Linked DNA regions of Drosophila melanogaster. The protein of the gene in region 1 purifies or fractionates together with the protein of each later gene. This does not show direct contact. Each region holds a gene or a part of one and is shown on either strand. Other genes may lie near its edges.

Region 1 (5,216 bases):
CGTTATGGACATGCCCGTCGATCCCAATGAGCCCACATATTGCCTATGCCACCAGGTGTCCTATGGAGAGATGATTGGCTGCGACAATCCCGACGTGAGTATTCGATTTTGATGTACTCTGTGGTCAGTTCTAGATCTTTCACTCTACCATTTTAGTGTCCCATCGAGTGGTTTCACTTCGCTTGTGTTGGCCTCACCACAAAGCCAAAGGGCAAGTGGTTCTGTCCCAAGTGTACGCAGGACAGAAAGAAGAAATAGATGCAATCCTTTATGATTACTTAGAATACTACTTTAGATTAAGCACAAAATTACCTATTTAAATAAAGCCACGGCTACTATAACTTCAGTATTATATTTGTCAATTTATTTCCTAACTAATTTGTAGTTAAATAATTCCATATCATAAAAGATGTTTTCACAGAATATTTCTAAAGTTGGATTGATTAATTTCAATTCATCAATGCCCTTTAATTCGGAGTTTACAAAGTTTTTCAGCCCAAGGAAAAGAAAACTGCAAAAGTAGCGATTACCAAATACCGATTATATTCATAAGCCTTTTTCCTTCGCAAACTAGCACGTAGTCTACCTTAAACCTAGTTTTATCTGCCGTTTTACGTTTTTCAGAATTTGAAAGCGACTAGAAGATTCCAATATCGATTACACGCTTGTCTGTATTTGCAAGCGTACATACATTCATCGGTAAGTGTAGTACATATATGAACATTTACATATGCAGTTAACAAATACAACTGCCTAATCAAAGGAATCGGTGGAAAAGAAACAAAATATATATATATATATATGTAACATCGCCACTGCATTGAGCCAAAAAGTGGAAAGAAAAGCAATTAGACTGGTGCATTAGTTATCCCGTATCCACTCGGTAATCGCTCTCATCAAATACTCGTGATCGTGGTCGTGGTGTGCGTTCAGATTTTGCTATTCAGTTGGCTGCACCCCCTACTTCTTGGTCATGATCTTCAAGTACTCGAGGGCATTCTGGGCGGCATGCCGCTGGGCATCGGCAGCTGTTGGTCCGCTGCCGTGGCAAACGCCAACGGGCAGCGTGGACAGTTGAACCAGGCACTGGAACTGGCCAGAGAAGGTCTTCTCCTCTATGTCCACATAGGTCACCTCGAACTGGTTCTCCGTGGCGATTTCGCCCAGCAGCTTGATGTAATCAATCTTGTTGTTCTTCAAGCAAGTCTTCTGAAAAAAATACAAATGGAGTCGAATTAGCAGAGTCAAATTAAACTTTGAACTTTCAAGCAAGAACACTATTATTATAAGGATTGTGAGGGGTTAAGGCAAATATGTACTTTCGAAAGCAGGTTTTGAATGTTGGAAATATGTTTGTGATCGTTTTTGAATAAAAAGCGTTATTGGATTGAAATTTACCTGTAACTTAAGCAGTTTTTTGCCCGTTGCATTTTTTAGGGTCTTATGGAACTGGGATACTTTGTTACTGTGCTGCGTGGTCAGTGTCGGCACAGAGATATCTTTCAATTCACCATAATAATTTTCACTACTGCGGGGCTGTAAATAAGAGCGCAAAGTTTTTGGTTTCTTTTCTCCATTGCATTTCGCACACATTTGAAATCACACACGCCAATGGTGAGTTGAAACATATCACTTTTGTGTGGAAAAGGTGCTTTACAGATTCGTTCTTTAAAACAATCACCATGCCAAGGAACAATATGAAAAATGAAAAATGAAATAAGCCAATATAAACCATAAATAAAACCAGAAATATAAATAAGGTGTAAGCATTATGTTAATTATATGTATAATTATGTCAAAAACATTAGTTATAAAAACAAGGACAATAAAAAATATCAGATAGCACACTATAAAAGGGATGCTATAGTACTAAAACTCTAGCTAGATACATAATTTAAAAGATTATAGGGATATTTACAACTGAGGATTACTCTAAACGTTCTACATTACATTTGAGAAGGGATAGAGGACAAACGTATTAAATAATATATAACATTTATGACATATATTTGATAAAATCAATTTTTAAAATTTTATAAACTAAAGCATGGGACTGCATTCAAAATAATTGCACTAAAAATATTAGAAAATTGCTTGTGGGTTAGATCTTGATGAACTCAAAATCTTTAGAGACTTGCTCGTAACGATCGATGTCTTGAATGATACTCACTTCGCCCTCCAACTCGCCGCAGATGCTGTCGCTGATTTTGCCCGAATCGATGGGAGTCTCCTGCAGACGCATCCACATGCGGTGGGCGGCCAAGCGCTTGGCTATCTTCTTGCTTTTGCCCTTGCCCATCTCGCGGTAGTTGAGTATCGAGCAGGCGATCGTAAAGAGCCGCTCGTGGGGAAGACCCACTTCCGTTTCCGTTTCGTACGACGGCGGTGGCCATCGCCGTTGCATGCACATTTCCTGCAACCAGCCAATCGGATTACCAACGGTCTTGTCGCTGGCACTGCAAGGACATAATACAATAAATTGGATATCTTAGAATCATATCTTAGACATCAATAGAATAAAAACTCACTCTCCTCCGCCTGTGGCATTGGCATTGCCGTCTCCTCCGCTTCCGGCGACCGTGAGCCCAGTCACCGACGGACCAGCGGAGCTGCTAGGCGATTCCGGCAGCTGCGCGCCGATCAGCTTGTCGATGAGCGCACGGGCCGCCGCATGCTTGGCCTCCTTCTTCGATCGTCCTGCCCCCATGGCCGTGAAGGGCGTATCCTTGTCTTTAAAGGACACGCGAAACCGGAAGGTCGGCTCATGTATGGCGCCCTCGATCTGGACAAGTTCATAGCCGGGAGTAATTCCTCGTCGGCTTAGCAGCTCTTGCAGAATGCTGACGGGCGTCTTCATGGCCAGTCCATTGGCGTCCGTTTCGCTGACGAACTTTAAGGCCTCGTCGCTGGGCAATATTACGCCCATAAGGCCGACTCCACCTTGTAAGCCCGATCCGCCCGCCAAGGCAGGATCACCAACATCTGACAGCTGCAGCTGACCTGGCTGAGACAGCTGCGCAACCTGGGCGGATATCTTCTCCTTCTTGAGCTTCACATGGCGCTGCCCCAGCGGAGCACCCTTCACCGGACTACCACTGACGGCATTTCCATTGCCCAGGCCGACAAGGTTATTATAGTGCCGCCGTGGAGCAAATCCCGTCTGGACAGGATTGGGGGACGCCTGCTGCGGCTGGATGTGGAGGTTCTGTAGCTGCTGCGGCAAGCTGGAGCCGTGGAAATTCTCCTGGTCCATGGTGTTCTTGTTTTGCACGGTTTTCGGGAGGATTCGGTGTGTATCTGTTTAAAATTTCGGGGTAATTGTTGTTTGAAAAATCGATACATCACCGACGAATAGCGGGCGAAAAGTCCAGTTGACACTCTCGCCGAAATTCGGGGAGTACTCACGTTTGAATCGCGGTTTTAACTGTTTTTTATTTAATAATAATTTATTAATGGTTAGTTAATAATTCATTCTTAAATAAAAAATACAGCAAAATCCAGACGCACACACGAATTGTATGTATTTTACTGATATTTGTGGTTGCCAGACTTTTTTTGGATTGCCTACTTATTACACCCCCTACTCGTAGAGTAAATATGTTGAAATAAATGTATGTAACAGGTACAGAACATTTTTTTGTACAAATATATAATAAAATAGACCATGAATACTAATTTAACTCAAAAAAAAAAAAGAACAAAAATAATTTTTAATTTCTCCTGGCATGATCGTAAGTTTGTTTAAAAGTTTTATCGATAAGATATCAGAATGTAATCGAAATAGTTGAAGTGAGCGCCATATTTGAAATTGTTGTATAAGTATTTATTGCAGTGTTTGCTCCATTACTGTTGTACATATTATTAATAGATATATATTTAAACAACATTCAATCAAATCAAATGTGAATGCATGCGCGGAATTCTGTGGCTCGAAATGCACGAAATGTGGGACTCCCGTAGCAGTAAACGATAGTTTAAATGGTATTCTAGATCTGGCTGTGATCTTCCGTCCTAATCGTCGCTTAGAAAATCGTCATCGAGGTTCACATCTGTCGTATCAATGTTATCATCCAACGTAATTCCATCTATTTCCAAGTCCAGGTCGTCGTCGTCATCCGCAGCGGATGTAGGCTCGGCCACCTGGCTGCTAGAAACAACAGCTTGAGCGGGAACGTAAGCTGGCTTCACCTTCTCCTCCAAATGCTGGCCGGCGGCACCCTGCTCGGCGGCAAATAGTTCTTGCAGAGGATGACGTTCGCTATTCAGTGGTAGATTCGCAGCGAGGCGTGCCGGCGCCTTACGAGCTCGCTCCTCCTGCAAATGCTGCTCCACCCGCAGCGCATCGCCCAGGCCAGGGAAGAGATTTGTATACTGTGCCGGATCGGCCAGCGACTGTCCCGCCTTTTCGTTGACCTTTCCAAGCTTCTCCCGCCAAAGCTCTACGATCCTTGACATCTGGCTGGGCAGGTAGGTGCGGGCAAAGAACGCTGCCTCTGGCAACCGATTTGTCTCAATGAGAATCTCCAAGCAGCGTTCCACGTCTGAACGAAGGAACGCCGAGAGGAAAGCTAGATTGTGATGTCCCTGGGCCGAGCCAGCCGCACCCACCACCTCGAGCAGCTGGGCATCGCCGGAAGCTGTTGAGAGCAGCAATAGACCGCTTAAGTCGTTTGCCTTCTGCATGCACTCTTTAACCAGAGACATGTTGTTCTTGCTAGACGCCACATCTGCCAGCTGTGACCACTTCTGGGAGTTCTCCGACTCACGGGCCAGCTTTAAGGCGATTTCCAAATCTCCGATCTGTAAGGCCAAGTCAAACTTATGGTCGGCATCGGTAGAGACTTGCAGGGCCTGCGACTTAAAGCCCTGTTTCTCCAGAAAATGTGCCACCCTAGTGCGGTGCTCCTTGGGAATGGTCGGTAGCACAACGTCTGCGCGCTCAAAGTCTCTTCGCATAACCGCCGTCTGGTACTCCAGCACGGACAGCTGCAGACAGAAACTGATCACGTTCAACTCCTTATCGCCGAGGTAAATACGATTGTCCTTGGGCACGTAGCCCAGCAGATACATTGTGCGGTCTAAGTGGGATACTGTCACAATCTCGCCGCCCACGTAGTAGTTGATGCGGTTCACCGAGTTGGTATAGATGAAGCAGTCTCCCACCCAAAGTCCTGTTTTGACGCACTCCGAAACCTCGCCTGCAACACAAATGCATA
Region 2 (4,934 bases), on another chromosome or scaffold:
TCAGCGCAAGGTAAGAATACCTAAACTGGGACAGCTGAAATATCTAACTAAAAGGAACCAAAATACATATGAAATATGTATTGAAAAATTGGTTTCCTTTTAGCGTGGGCAACTAAGTTAACCCTTTTGAAACTGCAACATTCAAAGAGCAAACACTTATTGATATTATATCATTCACAGAACAAGCCCAAGTCAAGGAGATCCGCTTCAACAGCGATAACCTAAACACACTAGAGCTGCTGCAGCTGTGCAACAAGCACGTGTCCAGCTTGGCACCGCGCGAGGAGATCACCAACAAGGTCCTGACCAAGGCGGAGAAACAGAAACTAGCAGGAGGCGCCGGCGGCGGAAAGAAGGCAACCAAGAAGAAGTAACCATCAGGATGGTGAGGAAGCACAAAGGAACACTGGCGGTGATCGAGAAGATCTACCAGGATATACCCGCATTCTCCGACATCTTCACCGAGGAGAGCTTCTACATGTTCGCCTTCTGTTTCGTGTGCGCCACCATTCTGGTGGCCTTCATTCTCTCCCGGTTCATCACCATCAAGCCCGTCGATTTCTAAGCCAATTGTATTGTTCAATTCCGCACACGTACTTTTCAAAATATATATACGCTCTAACATGTAACAAACACTCCGCACTGTATTGTCTTTTTGGCCCGACTGTGCAAAAGGGCAGCGCTCGATTCGATTCGGTCAGCCTGTCGTTTGTTTCATTTTTTTTTCGCCATTCGAAACCAGTTTTTCGGTCCCTGGCAAACCGGAAAATCATCTGCTCCTGCTGCTGCTGCAGCGGCTGCTGTTTGCTGCGCTTGCTGATGTCAGCGGATCGGAGAGCCGCCTGCCGTCCCAAAGCTTATAATCACAATGGGGCGGGAGGAGCCAATGGTAATTGGACCGCAGGAAGTCGACCAAATGGGCCATGCAAAGTGGACGGTGGACGTGGCTGGGGTGGACCACTACAGACTTGTTCATGAATTGTGGCATTAATTTGTTACTGCTCCAAGTGAATGATCATCTGCATTCTTGTAATGACAACAAGGATGCAACAGGCAGTGGAGAAAGCTTCTCTGTTGCCAAGACAGCTGTTGAGATGAATTGAAGTCTTATTCTAATGGGGGAGCAAGGAAGAAAGTGCACTGTGCAGTTCAAGCTTTGAGCTAAAGTTTTGAAATGGCGCGCTCTAAATGTGTGAATATGTACGTATTTGCGACGAAATCGATGGCTGCAACTGGCAACAATCTGTTGGAGTGTGGCAGCTGCAAAAATGGTTGGTGAAAGTTGCCCCAAAAAGCTGCGGCACCCTGTGATTAATAGAATTCTGTTCAGAGTGCCCCCAAGTTCAATGTCAGGCTGCAAGCTTTCTCCCCGCCTGTTCGCCAGCCGTTTTGAAGGAGTCACGTCGTAAAAACTTTCACCACCCACTTTTAAATTTTGAAGTTGCGAACGAGGTATTATAGCTTCGATCATAAGATTGCAAATTGGAGCTTGCGCATTAATAACATAGCAAATTTAAGTTTTTGAAACCGATAAGTTTTTTATACTTATAAAACCTTTTTTTAATATGTCGCTAGAAACGTTAAAAAGCTTTGTTTAATTATAGCATAAGTCCTTACAAATTGGTTTTAAATTACTGGTTTTTGTTATAAGTTAGTAACTCATATAAATTTTAACTCCCCAATGTTTTGATAAGATTTTAATCGGTTTAGGATTGGATCATATAATCCTATCGCAATAACTGTATAAAAGGGTATTATTAGTTTGTTAAAAGTTCAAGAGCATGTAAACCTGTCGACACGAACTTCTTCGTCGATTCGTGACGTAATTCGCGAGGGACGTGGATGGCGGGGATATTAACGAACGAAAGTTCTATTGGAAGCTAAGGATGTGACCTTTCTACCAAAACATAAACACTGTCTGTACGGTCGTCCCTCTCGCACCCCCGCGCTCACACGCTTGGCGCTCTTGAAAATTTCCCAAAGCATATGCTCAGGCGCCATTAGTGTTTTGGTTTCCTGTATTTTTGTTTTTTTTTTTTTTTTATTTTGGGGCACTTCCATTTTACTTGCAGCTCCTGCAGCTGTTCTGGAAGCCTCCATTTGCCGGCAAATTGAAAGATTCATAATTTTGTACTTACCTTATCGCAAAATTGCAGCTGACTTTGGTGTGTGTGTGCGCTTTTATCAGCTTTATCAGCGGCAAATCAATCGTTTTTTTTGGTGAATTCCGTTTAATGGAGGGGAACTCATTAAGGAGTTGAGTGGGGTTTGCGTCTCGACTGGATTTAAACCGTTGCGGACGTTACTTTTCCAGCGCTAATTGGAAGAAACGAGAAAGATAAGTGCAGGAAATGGAAATGGAATTGGTTAAAACGCAGTTTGTGCGGCTGCTGTTGTTGTTAGTGTTGCCAGATCGTTGCGCCGGAGATATGCATGAAATTGCGAGTCCGGGGAGCTTTTTGTTTACTTTGCTATTTGACAACACACACTCTTAAGCAGCTCCTATTTTATTTAGTTTTATTTTTTGCAAGCTTCCAGGCCTGTTTAACAGCGCGCGTGTGTGTGCGTGTGAGTCAAAGGTTGTCGGTGTGCGTTAGGCACTCGACTCTCTCTCTCTCTGTCTCACTGCCCTCTCTCTTCGCGCTTTCTGTGTTTGCTTTGATTTTTGTTTTTGCCGCGGCTTTTAACTTTTTTATGACAACTACTTTGGAGGGAAAAGCTTTCCCCACAGCTCCGCGAAGCAGTCATGCAAAAAAAAAACATACAGGCTGCCACTAGACACACACACCTTCTCACGTCCGCCAAAAGCACCAACACACAAACACACACAGGCACAGAGATTGCTGCAAAATGAAAGCACCAACAACAACAGATACAAAAACATCCAGCCCGCAACGCAAAAATTGGCGAAAAAATATGGCAATTACTGCAGATCTGGATATATCCGGGTTTGATTCGCCTGGCGGAGATCGCTTGAGATCGTTATGTATGAGAATTGAGAGTCAGCTTCGGAAAATTGCGAACGCGCGAGTTTTGCACAAACACAACTTATTTGCTGGCCGTTTTGGAATTGAATAAAATAAATATTGTTGCGTGTGCCTGTGTGTGTATATATCTGTGTGAGACGGCTCTCGCTGAGAGAGCGCGCAATTCGCGCCAGAAAGGGACGACCAGTGTGTTGCGATGAGAGAGCGGGGCAGCGAGCTTTTGTTAGGGGGACACCAACAAAATGACCTTGTCGGGATTAATATTACCGTTACTTCCATATATCCCCCCATTATTAACTTCAAAATTTAAAATAAATTGTACACGTTAGACTTTGTTTTTTTAAATTAAATTAGGTAAGCCAAAAACCCAAGTATAATGAGTATAATGATGCATTCTGAAAAGAGCTGGACGAGTACTTACCAAAACGCGTATCCTTTTATTAAAGTAGTAATATTTTAAATATAAATTAATAAGCCGTTTTGATGTATATCAAACACACAATTAGATAGATAACTACCGATTAACTCCCATTTGAATTTATTTAGCATCCAAAAATCACTCAGCACATGAAAAAATTTGCTTTCGGATTCCATATCAATGACTACCAAGCCGCACACGTAAGCTACTTTTGCTTCTCCTCCTGTTTTTCGGTAGCGGGATCTGTGTTCTCATCGCGGGCCACTGAAGTTGGGGTTTCGGGATCGCTGGCCTTCTTCTCGCTGGCGGAGGGTTTGCCACCCATGGTGGCACCGGGGGGCAGACTCTTCTCCAGAGCACGCACAAAATCCTCTAGATTGCCAGAGAAGGCGGCGGCCACTGCTTCGTTGGACAACTCGAATTGCTTGATCACAGGTCCCAGCTGGGCCGATTGCAGGGCACTGGAGAACTGGGCCAGAGCCTGCTGGAACTGCGGGGAGGTGATATTGTCCTTGATCTGCTGCTTGCGATCATCGTCCACATCCTCCGACTCGGGCAGGTGCACGATCAGCGTCTTGACATGCTCCGGATCGGCAATTATCTGATTGATGGCATCGGCGCCGGGTAGGGCCGTCGATAGGTCAATATTCAGGGATCGTCCTGCGCCATGTTCGGGGGAGAGATTGGATAAGTAGGCTTGGAATGGATTGGCATAGGCTCCGGTCGATTTTGACGCCGTTGTGGTCGATGTGGTTGAGTTCTTACCGGGGGCATCCGCATCAACGGAGGAGCCGGCACCTTCGCCGACCTGCGAGTTCACATTGCTGCTGCTGCGGCTGCTGCCCGATTTCGATGGAGCGCTCGGAGTGCGCGGCACACTGACGTTTTCGGGCGTCTGCAAGGCCGATGCCCCACCGCCACCCGATGAGGAGGTGTTGCGCGACGAGGGCGTCCGGGAGCTGCGGAGAATATAGAAAGGAAAATATTGAAAAAGGGGGTGAACTCAAGTTCTGGCTTCATTCCTTCGATTACATGCTTATAAACAATAAAAACGATACCCTGTAAGTTAAGAAGCTATCTACTTGACTAGTTCTTGGACACTATGGCTGCAAGGGTTTAAATGCTCACTTCATTTGGCCCAGCAGCGAGCTGAGACCACCCATCTGGCCAACGCCGCCGAAGAGCTGCATCAGCTGCTGCTGCGACATGTTGTTGAGCATGTACTGGAGGTCGCCGTCGTTGCTGCCGCCGCCGCCGCGCTGGTGGGCGGATGGAGGGTTGTTCAGCAGCTCGTTGATGCGGCGGCACTGCTCGTCGTCCTTGTCCGTCTTGGGCTCCTGCATCCAGAAGAACATGCGGCGTGTCGATGACTTGAACTTAAGCACATAGACACGGCCCGTCTTGCACTGATCGACGCGCTTGTACTCGAAGTCATCGGGGAAGACGATGAGATCGTCCTCCACCTTGCCGGAGGTGCGATCCTTCCAGCAGAAGTGCATCAGGCCATCGTCACTCTGGGTCATGTAGAC
Region 3 (4,296 bases), 5.6 Mb from region 1:
CCACGGCGCCGCCCTCCTCCAGCCAGTGGCAACAGCACCTGGTACGCGGTGTGAGTCGTGCGTCCAGCGAAAAGGATCGGGATCGGGAGCGACAGCAACAACAACAACAACAGTCTCTGGACCATCAACAATCCAATCTCAAGCTGCGCAAGAAGATTAGCTATTGAACACTAATCATATATTGTTTCCTTTAGTTGTGTAAATATTATTTTGACTAGTAAATTGAACGTTTCCCGATGAGATGATGAGATTGATGTGGCGAATGCAATGATTTTTTAGATATTCCAATGCAATCAAATTTGGTGATTGATTAGGAAATTATTTGCAATAACAATCTCATTTATACACTTACATTTTTTTTTAGGAAAACATTTCAAATTGTTATGGATTTGTTATTTAACATATTGTACTAATATAAGATAACCCATTAAAAGGCAAGCAATTGACATTGAAATTGTTAATACATTGTTGAAAGTTTTTAAGAGGAACGCTTAGTTTTCATTTTAGCATTGTGTTGTAAAAATAAAATCAAAAATGCTGAAGACTACGAAGCACTTTATTTATTTTAGACTGAAACCCCTTTTATTCGTATAAAAGTTGTACTTGTAAAAAAAAAAAGAAATGCAGCATTTTTACCATTTTTTTCCGTCAAATTATTTAAAATATTTGTTTCAAGTAAGTCTTTGATTACTAGCATTCCTTTTAAAGGCAAATGTTCAGATTTTTAATTTCACTGTGCAATACATATTTATGTAAATTGCTTCAAATATTTTATAATCAGTTGTTGCAAACAATAAGTTCGGACCGTATAAATACTTTACATTTTAATAGAATTAACATTGGTATTGGCATCGAAAAGTAATTAATAATATCATTATGTTATACCTTCTCGAAAGTAAAAGTTGTTGTACCCACTCCCCTTACTTATTTCCTTGGATTTTTTACACCTATCTCAATCGTGTACAAAGTTAACATAGATGTTTACTAAAAGACCTTGAAAATAATTTTTTTATGTTTCCCACCTACAAATTGGTGGAGATTGTATTAATCGTAAGATTAAATGAAATATGTGCATTCTAGAGTGTAAATAAAACGAGTTTACTTAGTTTTAAGCTAGAATAGTTGAATAAATGTTATACGCATTAAATCAACATGGTGCGAAAATAGTCTATTATATGGTCGTAGATATCGGTCTCCTTTGCCATAAGGACCACGTCGAATGCACAATTAAGCTCGACGCTAAGCAAGGGAACCAACGATGAAGATTCCACTTCACTGATTTTGGGTGTTATCTTTAAAGAGCTCATTACGTCCATAGCCTTATCCTTGGAGCTCTCGTATTCATCTGAATTGATGGCCTCAATGGCCTCCTTTTTCAGGGTAGGATAGAAGTTCTTGAAGTAGTTGTGTCGGTCGCAGAGCCGCATGCCTGTATGGTCTACGCTCCCGGCTTCCTTCAACTCCCAGTAGGTGGTAAATTTCTTTCTGCGCAATGCCTCCAATTCCTCCATAGATTCTTCCATATCAACAACTTTCAATTTGCTTGTGCTCGCTACTTGCATTTGATCCGGACGCAAATTGTCCGAATTGCTGGAGATTAAGGCCAGCATTTCAATGGCCGCTCGCTGACGGGCATCCTTCTTTTTGTCCGACTTTCCGTAGCGTACTATGGAGGCCACGGAGCAACAGGCCACGAATTCCGGGGCGCTCGGGGTGCCGCTTTGCTGCACTACCTCAATGCAGGGCAGTGGCATCTCGCGGCGGACGCAGTAGTCACGCAGCTCCTTCACCATGTCCCGGTTGAGGTTAGTCAGTTCCTCATCCAGATCACCCACAGTCGAATCCTTCATCAAGCCGTGTATGCCGGGCAGCAGTTGGATTTTACGCAAGATATTGCTGGCAGCCAGGTGTTTGGCATCACGCTTCGAACGCCCTAGAATTGGATAAATATGTGGCGGTTTAGATACGAATATAAATAGTGGTTGAGATTTGTAATTTAAATTTACCATTTCCAAGGGCCTCTATCTCCAATAGTTCAACTTTACAGACGTACCCTCCGTCTTCGCCGGGAATAAAACTGTATGTTGGTAGATTAATCTGTGTCCGGGCACAAAACTCCTGTAGAGCAGATACGGCTGACTTGTTATCCATGAGTTCAAGGGGAAAAGGCACGTCGGACGTGCTAACATTCAACAGAATATAACCATATATATAATTTATAAAATATCTAAAGCACTGCAATGTTATTAGAGATGGCACGCGAATCACGAAGCGGCAACGATAGAATAGGAAATCTTGACGAAGACATCTGTAAATGAATTATTTTATGCCGCTTTGTCAAAAAAATATTTTCACGAAATAGTATTGAATTCGTAATTCGAATACGAAAACAGCGGCAAACCTTCTTAACTTTTTTACTAAGGAGCAAATGCATTTTATATGCTATTCGGTGTTTTCATTCAAAGTTCAACGTCTGAAGTGTTATACATAATCGACACGTCACGATGACGCGAGTTGGCATCCCCGTAAGTCAAGGCAACCCTGTTGCGTAGTATATGGCATTAACAAGTGTTGCTGTCAGTGATGAGCAAAATCCACAACTGCAAATAACTAGATACCGTATATTTTTCAAAGGAATAAATTCTAAAAACACTAAAACCAAGTGTTTGAGCAACGACTTTAATATTTTCCAACTGTGTACTTAAATTGCCACATCCCACACACTTTGGAAAATCAATTCTCAGCTGTTTGTGCAACCTGCGACTTAAAAATACCTGCTACTCGCGGCAGCCCTGTGACCGACGCTCATCACTTGCCACAGGTCAGAACCAAATGAAGAGTAGTTTTTGATCAACTGCGGAACGTTTACTGCGTTTCATAATCAATAACTCTGTGCTGCGAGCAAAACACCACAGAACGAACAGCTGTTGAAAACCAAACAATAGCATAATACCAAATTAAATGTCAAATTCAGAATAAACTATTTCTCGAAAATACGCAGAGAGCAGAGCGGAGTAGGAAGTGAGAAACAGTGGCTGCGTAAAAAGTGTCCCCGCTAGCGCAGCAAAAACCCATCACCGATCTTCGTATCGCGGTCATTAATTAGCAATAGAAAGTTCTCCGATTCGCGGGGTCAGCCAGATGGAGGAGAACGCCGCCCCACCCGCAGCCGCAACAGCCGCGGGCTGCGATGCCGCCACCCGTCAAAAGAATCCGGAAACCAGTGTCCGGCTGCTCATCAAGTCGTCCAACCAGCAGTATGAGGATCTCAATGTGGACTCCGATCTCTGCTGGACGGTCCAGAGGCTGAAGAAGCACCTATCTCTTATCTATCCTGGCAAACCGGTGGGTTATCGAGTTGGTTCCCCCCCTTGTTATCGTATAGGTAGAAAACTGGCCAGGAGCCCCATTATCTTATCGAGAAGTTTGTTATTGTTTATCATCTTCGTTTAGGATTCATAGGTGTGTCGGTTCCCAAAGCTATTTGCGTCTTAGTCGCAAGTACACGTCAGTGGATTGCTCCTCTAAATTATAGTCGCCGTCATGCACTTGCGTCATGCACTTGGTCTATGCCAAATCGATGGGTCGGAACTGGGAACTGGGATTAATTTGGTTACGGTTAGAAAGTGATAAGATTTTTGGACATATTCACGCTCCACTCATGTGCCAAGTTTTTTATGTACATATGTACATCCCACATATCAATATCACTGATATATACTAAAGATTCAGATCATTGCAGGCAGAAAAAATACATTAGCACTCTTTATTTCCAGAGCAAATCAAGTAGAATTTATAAAAATTTATTTAGTTTCAAGTATCATTTCCATAAAGTCAACTGACAAGTACAAGTTGTTATCTCTTGGAGTGTGCAAATAAATAGATTTAGGCACTGTTTGATAGTATAAATTTCGCGCGGAGGTAAAAGCAACAATGAGTTATCTCTAGGTTCCCTCTGAATACCTATAATGTGAAATTTTATGTTTTATGTTTTGACCACTATAACTATTTCTTTCCATTTTTTCTGTAGTTAATCCAGGACCAGAAACTTATTTACTCGGGCAAGCTATTAGATGACTCCCAAAAGATATCTGAGGTGATACGCAGCTACAAGGATGTCTACCAACAGCACCACATATTTCACTTGGTGTGTGCCAGCAAGCAAGTGATAAGGCCGGCTGCCAAAGCCCCCACTGTTCCGCAGAAGGATGCGGTTCCAGCTGGGCCCGAGGTCACTGGGAATGCAAATGAGCTGCGACAACGTCATGCTCCACATCAGCAGCAGGCACAGCAGGG

The links.
Region 2: the proteins of loqs (region 1) and AGO1 purify together in Drosophila melanogaster (affinity purification with western blotting; 4 studies listed by BioGRID, with this or other methods). This does not show direct contact.
Region 3: the proteins of loqs (region 1) and r2d2 purify together in Drosophila melanogaster (affinity purification with western blotting, with the first as the bait; one study listed by BioGRID). This does not show direct contact.

The regions. Positions count from the first base shown.
Region 1 is NT_033779.5:13,380,977-13,386,192, reverse strand, and holds loqs (loquacious), read right to left. Parts: upstream 3,542-5,216; 5' UTR 3,406-3,541; intron 3,298-3,405; 5' UTR 3,254-3,297; coding exon 2,529-3,253; intron 2,457-2,528; coding exon 2,171-2,456; coding exon of another isoform or gene 2,102-2,170; exon of another isoform or gene 2,028-2,101; intron 1,667-2,027; coding exon of another isoform or gene 1,537-1,666; coding exon 1,399-1,536; intron 1,372-1,398; exon of another isoform or gene 1,210-1,371; coding exon 961-1,209; 3' UTR 522-960; downstream 1-521. Other genes in the region: Ing5 (inhibitor of growth family member 5), read left to right, coding at 1-94, 157-258; beta'COP (coat protein (coatomer) beta'), read right to left, coding at 4,012-5,198.
Region 2 is NT_033778.4:13,955,035-13,959,968, forward strand, and holds the start of AGO1 (Argonaute-1), read right to left. Parts: upstream 3,056-4,934; 5' UTR 2,928-3,055; intron 2,317-2,927; 5' UTR 2,139-2,316; intron 647-2,138; exon of another isoform or gene 566-646; coding exon of another isoform or gene 383-565; exon of another isoform or gene 375-382; coding exon of another isoform or gene 181-374; intron 11-180; coding exon of another isoform or gene 1-10. Other genes in the region: mRpL53 (mitochondrial ribosomal protein L53), read left to right, coding at 1-10, 181-374; CG33155 (uncharacterized protein), read left to right, coding at 383-565; Rpn13 (regulatory particle non-ATPase 13), read right to left, coding at 3,611-4,364, 4,534-4,934.
Region 3 is NT_033779.5:7,798,358-7,802,653, reverse strand, and holds r2d2 (r2d2), read right to left. Parts: upstream 2,508-4,296; 5' UTR 2,402-2,507; exon of another isoform or gene 2,309-2,401; 5' UTR 2,152-2,308; coding exon 2,007-2,151; intron 1,934-2,006; coding exon 1,143-1,933; 3' UTR 556-1,142; downstream 1-555. Other genes in the region: Cdc14 (cell division cycle 14), read left to right, coding at 1-167; Herp (Homocysteine-induced endoplasmic reticulum protein), read left to right, coding at 3,142-3,345, 4,031-4,296.